Linked DNA regions of Macaca mulatta. The protein of the gene in region 2 purifies or fractionates together with the protein of the main gene of each other region. This does not show direct contact. Links are inferred from orthologs where the notes say so. Each region holds a gene or a part of one and is shown on either strand. Other genes may lie near its edges.

Region 1 (3,742 bases), on a different chromosome or scaffold from region 2:
CTCCTGACCTCGTGATCTACCCACCTTGGCCTCCCAAAGTGCTGGGATTACAGGCATGAGCCACTGCACCCGGCCCTCTTTTTCTTTTTTTTATGATGGGGTCTTGCTCTGTTGCCCAGGCTGGTATGTAGTAGCGCAACCATAGTTTACTGCAGCCTCCAATTGGGCTCAAGGGATCAAGGGATCCTCCTGCCTCCGCCTCCCGAGTAGCTGGGACCACAGGCATGTGCCATCATGCCCAACTAATTTTTAAATTTTTATACTTTTTGTTGTTGTTAGAGACGGGGTCTCGCCATGTTGCCAGGCTGGTCTTGAACTCCTGGGCTTAAGCAATCCTCCCATCTTAGCCTCCCAAAGTGCTGGCATTACAGGCATGAACCCAGCTCACATGCTACTTTCTAAATGAGTCTGCCCTGACTTCTCTGTTGAACAGTTGACTCTGCCCTCTGCCTCTCCTCCTGGTGTTTGCAGTCTCCCTTAACCTCTCCATTCCAGAAAGCTTACTCCTTGAGGCAAGTAGAAGTCTTTGTTCTTTCTGTTCACTGTGTGTCCCAGGACCTGGAACAATGTCTGGCATGTAGGAAGTATTAAAAAATGTTGAGTAAGTTGTTGGATACAAATAGTTTTTATGTTTAGTTTGATTTAATAGAATCTAAGTCATTTAATGAGTTAATTAGAGCTTTGTGTAGATGTCCTTATCTCCTAAAACTAAATATAGATGAAGACTTACGATTTTCATACCGAATTTGCCTTAAAAAGTGCTGGTTAAGTCTATTTGTATATTGATCATTATACTGTTTTTCTTTGCCCAAAGCGAGGTGCTCAGTCCCCTCTGATCTTTCTCTATGTGGTTGACACATGCCTGGAGGAAGATGACCTTCAAGCACTCAAAGAGTCCCTGCAGATGTCCCTGAGTCTTCTTCCTCCAGATGCTCTGGTGGGTCTGATCACATTTGGCAGGATGGTGCAGGTTCATGAACTAAGCTGCGAAGGAATCTCCAAAAGTTATGTCTTCCGAGGGACCAAGGATTTAACTGCAAAGCAAATACAGGTTTGTACCTTACTTTTACAGGATCAGGAACAAGGACTTTTTTCTTTCCTTTTCTTTTAAAGAGACTAGGGTCTCTTTAAAAGAGCCTGTAGCCCAGGCTGGAGTTCAGTGGTGTGATCATGGCTCACTGTAGCCTTGAATTCCTGGGCTCGAGCCATTGGCCCACCTCAGCCTCCTGAGTAGATGGGACTAGAGGCACGTGCCACCACACCCAATTGAGGACATTTCTTAAAAATTAGTCATTCACTTTTCGTGTCATTGGAAATGAATCTTTTTGGCCTTTTTTTTTAAGGATATGTTGGGCCTGACCAAGCCAGCCATGCCCATGCAGCAAGCACGACCTGTGCAACCACAGGAGCACCCTTTTGCTTCAACCAGGTGAGATCCCAACATGAAGTGTTACATGTACTATGATGGACAGGCAGATGATCCACGGAAGTAAGGAAAGAAAAATATTAGAACTTTTATTTTCTTATTATTAGAGGAAAAGATAAATGGTTAAGCCTCATCAGTATTCAGTATTTTGTCAAAAAGGTTTTGAGACCACTGTGCTCAATTGCTGTGCTTAGACATTCCACATCTGATGTCCTTTTTGATGCTTAAGTAAAACTGGAAAAACTGAAAAGACTTCTTTCATGTGTCCTCAAACATACTTAAGACCGGGTATTCACTTCACTCAGCCCATTGAGCGCCTGGGGCTGCCCTAGACTGGGCTAGCAAGCTCGATAAAATGCATCGCCCGACATGCTGAAGACAACCTCTTACTCTCAAGGCTTAAGAGAAGCACAGATTAGAATGATGAGGAATGATGACGATTGTCCACCTAAGTGGACCTCCCATAGACTGAACTTGTGTTAGGCACGTCCTTAGGATTTCTTTGCTGCCTAAAAGTTAATTAAACTGAATTGCTTCTTTTCAAGACAATTTTTTTTCCATGCAGCATATTTAAATTGCTAAGTATTGGGCTTTATATCCCTCAATAAAACTGCTTTAAATTGTTTTGTGTTAGTAGAGAGATAGCTTTGAAGAAAAAAATTACCCGTCATTTACTACTCCGAATAATTATCTTGGAGAGCAATAATTGTGTGGCATCTAGTGTTGAAGACCATAGTACTTTATTCAATCTGGGTTGATGTGTCTGTTCAAAATCTTGCAGATTTCTGCAGCCTGTTCACAAGATTGATATGAACCTCACTGATCTTCTTGGGGAGCTACAGAGGGACCCATGGCCAGTAACTCAGGGGAAGAGACCTTTGCGATCCACTGGCGTTGCTTTGTCCATTGCTGTTGGCTTGCTGGAGGTAATTTGGAATTTACCAGGACCTCTCAAATCATACAGACTTGCTCTCAGAAAATATATTTGTTGGCTTTGTTTGAAAATCACTTGTGATCTAAGTCAACCATGTGTGTTAATGTATCAGAAAGCATTTCAGGCATCATTATCATGCATGTTGAGGGAGCCCCTCAACATTTTGAAAATGCCAAAAGTTTTCATGAAAAACTGAGAATTAGAGCAATGGGGAGCACTCACAGCGAATTAATAAAAGTGTGCAAACCCATCAGGTTGGAAGAAGGTAAGTGCTGCTTTTCTGCATTATCATCTGTAGTATTCTGCAGTATCACCACTTTTTAGAACAGCTGGAGAGAATGCATCTTCGGAGTATTTCTATTGGGAAATTGAAACCATACACAGAGGTGGGGCTGTATACTTCTAACATGCTGCCATTCGCTATTTTAGGGCACTTTTCCAAACACGGGAGCCAGGATCATGCTGTTTACTGGAGGTCCCCCTACCCAAGGGCCTGGCATGGTGGTTGGAGATGAATTAAAGATTCCTATTCGTTCTTGGCATGATATTGAGAAAGATAATGCACGATTCATGAAAAAGGCAACGAAGGTAGGTGCTCTTGGGTACGGGTTGTAATTCTGAAAGCCCATTGTCAGGTTTGGGCTGCTCTGGAGTGACAGCTACTTTGCTGTCATGTGTCATGGTCAGCAAGACGCTGTTTCAGAGACAGTTTTCTGACCCTAGCTGCTATTAAATTATTGCTCCTACTTTCAGACCTTAATTAGAGTGAGTGGCCTTAAAACTACTCAAAGGGTTTTGACATTGAAAATTATATTTTTATTTTATTCAGATATTTTTGAAAATGATTTCCAGGCTGGGCCTGGTGGCTCACGGCTGTAATCCCAGCACTTTCGAAGCGGGGGGTGGATCACTTCCGGTCAGGAGTTCAAGACCAGCCTAACCAACATGGTGAAACCCTGTCTCTACTAAAAGTACAAAAATTAAGCCAGGTGTGGTGGCTCACGCCTATAGTCCCAGCACTTTGGGATGCCCAGGCAGGCGGATCACTTGAGGTCAGGAGTTTGAGACCAGTCTTGCCAACATGGGGAAAACCCCGTCTGTACTAAAAATACAAAAATTAGCTGGGTGTGGTGACATGTTCCTGTAATTTCAGCTACTCAGGAGGCTGAGGCATGAGAATCCGTTGAACCTGGGAGGCAGAGGTTGCAGTGAGCTGAGATCGTGCCACTGCACTCCAGCCTGGGTGACGGCATGAGACTCTGTCTCAAAAAATAAATAAATAAAAATAAAATTACAAAAATTTGCTGGGGATAGTGGCGCATGCTTTTAATCCCAGCTACTTGGGAGGCTGAGGCAGGAGGATCACTTGTACCCGTGAGGTG
Region 2 (3,742 bases):
TCAGAGATCTTCATCTGCCCAAGAGGCAGGTTCTGAGCGTCTACCACAACGCGCATCTGAACCATCGCCACCCCCACGCCCGGGGGCTCTGGCAAGCCCTCCTTCCCTGCAGTCAGCACGGCATCCTGAGGACCGGCGCCGGGGGCAGCACCTGCACAAGCTGGCTGATCAGCACTGGGGAGTACAGGTGCGGCTGCGTCAGGATGCTCTTCGAGATGGCCTCACAGTAGTGGAAGGCTTGCGTGGCCAGCCCCATTTCCGCCAGGCGGCAGGAGTAGATGAACTTAAACACCTGAAACGACAGAAACCTTGCTGCCCCGCGGCTCCCCTGCTTCCGAGCATCGCGGATGGACAAAGCCTCACGCTGCCCCGGGGCTCCCCTGCGTCCGAGTATCGCGGATGGACAAAGCCTTGTGCTGCCCGGGGGCTCCACTGCATCCGAGCATCACCGACGGACAAAGCCTCGCGCTGCCCCGGGGCTCCCCTGCGTCCGAGCATCGTGGTTGGACAAAGCCTCGCGATGCCCCGGGGCTCCCCTGAGTCCGAGTATCACCGAAGGACAAAGCCTCGCGCTGCCCCGGGGCTCCCCTGCGTCCGAGTATCGCGGATGGACAAAGCCTTGCGCTGCCCGGGGGCTCCCCTGAGTCCGAGCATCACCGACGGACAAAGCCTTGCACTGCCCTGGGGCTCCCCTGAGTCCGAGTATCACCGAAGCACAAAGCCTCACGCTGCCCCGGGGCTCCCCTGCGTCCGAGTATCCTGGTTGGACAAAGCCTCGTGCTGCCCCGCGGCTCCCCTGCGTCCGAGCATCACTGATGGACAAAGCCTCGCGCTGCCCGGGGGCTCCCCTGCGTCCGAGTATCGTGGTTGGACAAAGCCTCGTGCTGCCCCGCGGCTCCCCTGCGTCCGAGCATCACTGATGGACAAAGCCTCGCGCTGCCCGGGGGCTCCCCTGCGTCCGAGTATCGTGGTTGGACAAAGCCTCGTGATGCCCCGCGGCTCCCCTGCGTCCGAGCATCACTGATGGACAAAGCCTCGCGCTGCCCCGGGGCTCCCCTGCGTCCGAGCATCACTGATGGACAAAGCCTCGCGCTGCCCGGGGGCTCCCCTGCGTCCGAGAGTCACCCTGGAAGCTGTGGACTCTTCTGGACGCTTCACTCATCATGTCTCCCACCCACCACGCCCGCCGACCACAGTCCTAGTCCCTGTTCCCTGAAGGATTTCAAGAGCAAAGTAAGTGACTAAGCTGGGAAGAAACCCACCCTGCTTTCCCCGCCAACCCCTTTCATGGCGCCACTCGGCTCTCACAGCCACAACACCCCAAGAGCACGGCAGGAAGACCACTGCCTTCCGTGCAGCTCCAGCTGCCCACAGGCATTCTCTAGATACTTTTTTTTTTTTTTTTTTTTTGACCGGGTCTCACTTTGTCACCCAGTCTAGAGTGCAGTGGCACAATCCAGCTCACTGCAGCCTCAATCTCCTGGGCTCAAGCGATCCTCCCACTTCAGCCTCTGAGGAGCTGGAAACACAGGCGCATGCTGCCATGCCTGGCTAATTTTTGTTTTTTTTTTTTTTTTGGTAGAGACAGGGTGTCATTACGTTGCCAGGCTGGTCTCTAATTCCTGAGCTCAGGTAATCCACCCACCTTGGCCTCCCAAAGTACTGGGATTACAGGCATGAGCCACCATGCCCAGCCTCTCTCTATGTATATTTTATACACACCACCCCCATACTGCATCAGAGAATACCTCCCTCAAATATTACAAACAGCTCATACGGCCGGGCGCGGCGGCTCACACCTGTAATCCCAGCACTTTGGGAGGCCGAGGCAGGCAGATCACGAGGTCAGGAGATCGAGACCATCCTGGCTAACACGGTGAAACCCCGTCTCTACTAAAAATACAAAAATTAGCCGGGTGCGGTGGTGGGCGCCTGTAGTCCCAGCTACATGGGAGGCTGAGGCAGGAGAATGGTGTGAACCCAGGAGGCCGAGTTTGCAGTGAGCCGAGATTGCACCACTGCGCTCCAGCCTGGGCGATAGAGTGAGACTCCGTCTCAAAAAAAAAAAAAACAAAAAAATTAGCACGGCATGGTGGTGCTGCCTGTAGTCCCCGCTACTCTGGAGGCCAAGGGAAATGGCTGAAGCCTGGGAGTGATCAAAGCAGAGTGCACTCCAGCCTGGGCAACGAGTGAGACCCTGTCTCCTTAAAAAAAAAAAAAAAAAAGCTCATGAAAATAACTGAAATCAAATGCAAACGGAAAGCCTCAATTCAATGTGATCTAGTTTTTTAGCATTTTAGATCAAATGTCTTCTCAAGATCCTCCCCGAAAAAACTCACATCATTTTTTTCCATAAGAACTCAAAAAATCTAAGTAGCCAAAAGCTTGTTAGCACTGAGCGCCTGCCCACCCATGACAGCTGCAGGCTGGCAGCACCTGCTTACCTGGAAACTAGGCAGGGGGCAGGTCTGGGCACCCAGGGACTGGGCGTACTCATAGGCTTCCGTCCTCTGGATTGCTTCATTGGTTGCGAACTTTAAGAATGGCAAACTGTAGAGGAAGCGAATTATTTTGATTTGAAAAACATGGCCAATTATTAGCAGAGTCAACCTCAGAGCAGGTCATCCAGAAGTGTGTCCCACCATGTGACAAATCAAGACATGATTCTGTCCATTTCTGAATTAACTAAAGGAGAAGGATTTCGTCTTACTTTTAAAGGAAAACTTACAGGACTACACTGACTTGCTTCTTTACCTGTGATTTGATCCAATTAAGACAAGCTTTGTAGTTTTCTTCGTATAAACACCAAATCCAACCTGGGCCATAAGGTAGCAAAAGTGGGCCGCGTCTAAGAGGCCCTTCGAAGCTGGAGAGACACGAGAACCAGGCGGAGTCTCAGTGACTGCGGATGCCCGCGGAAGTCAAGCATGTGCACAGAAGGCACTAGAGACGCGAGCTGGACCAAGAAGGCCGGGTTCTTGTGATTTCTGCCAATGCCACAGACAACCGGGCCTTCGGTGCTCCATCCATGACGCCTGATGCCCATCTCCACCCCTGACCTACCCAGAGTGTCGCCCATGGTAGCCATCGTCCTGGACTCGACATCCATATTGTTGTTCAAGTTGGACAAGACCATGGCAAGGTGCGGCCTCCAGTCTCCCCATTTCTCGTCTCCACAGCACTAACATGAGGAAAAACAAAACGAAGCCTCATCCCTGGAAGCCAGCACCGTTTCAATTCCACGCAGCTGGGCTCACCAGCACGAGGAGGCACCTCACGGCCTGTGACAGCATCACCCATGAGCAAACTCCACACAGGCAGTGGAGCCTGTGCGAGCCACCAGGCAGTGCCACTCACCGTAGACGCGGCGGGCATCCGCCCGGACATGAGCTGGTAGACTGTCTGCAGAGGGTCGTTGATTGGGAGGCTGTTGGCAAACCTGGGCAGACATAAACACAGAAAGACCCCACGCTGGCTCAGCTAAAAGAAAAAGTCCGGCCGGGCGCGGTGGCTCATGCCTGTAATCCCAGCACTTTGGGAGGCCGAAGCGGGCGGATCACCTGAGGTCAGAAGTTAGAGACTAACATGGAGAAACCCGTCTCTACTAAAAATACAAAAATCAGCTGGGTGTGGTGGCATGCACCTGTATTCCCAGCCACTCAGGAGGCTGAGGCAGGAGAATCGCTTGAACCCAGGAGGCAGAGGTTGCAGTGAGCTGGGATCGTGCCACTGCACTCTAGCC

What was found.
Region 1: the proteins of SEC16A (region 2) and SEC23B purify together in Homo sapiens (affinity purification with mass spectrometry; 3 studies listed by BioGRID and IntAct, with this or other methods). This does not show direct contact. The link is inferred for Macaca mulatta from reciprocal best matches to the Homo sapiens genes SEC16A and SEC23B.

The regions. Positions count from the first base shown.
Region 1 is NC_133415.1:65,478,709-65,482,450, reverse strand, and holds part of SEC23B (protein transport protein Sec23B), read left to right. Parts: intron 1-814; coding exon 815-1,051; intron 1,052-1,343; coding exon 1,344-1,429; intron 1,430-2,207; coding exon 2,208-2,352; intron 2,353-2,789; coding exon 2,790-2,948; intron 2,949-3,742. UniProt on the Homo sapiens protein: Component of the coat protein complex II (COPII) which promotes the formation of transport vesicles from the endoplasmic reticulum (ER).
Region 2 is NC_133420.1:6,040,535-6,044,276, reverse strand, and holds part of SEC16A (protein transport protein Sec16A), read right to left. Parts: intron 3,440-3,742; coding exon 3,358-3,439; intron 3,182-3,357; coding exon 3,064-3,181; intron 2,867-3,063; coding exon 2,755-2,866; intron 2,551-2,754; coding exon 2,445-2,550; intron 293-2,444; coding exon 152-292; intron 1-151. UniProt on the Homo sapiens protein: Acts as a molecular scaffold that plays a key role in the organization of the endoplasmic reticulum exit sites (ERES), also known as transitional endoplasmic reticulum (tER).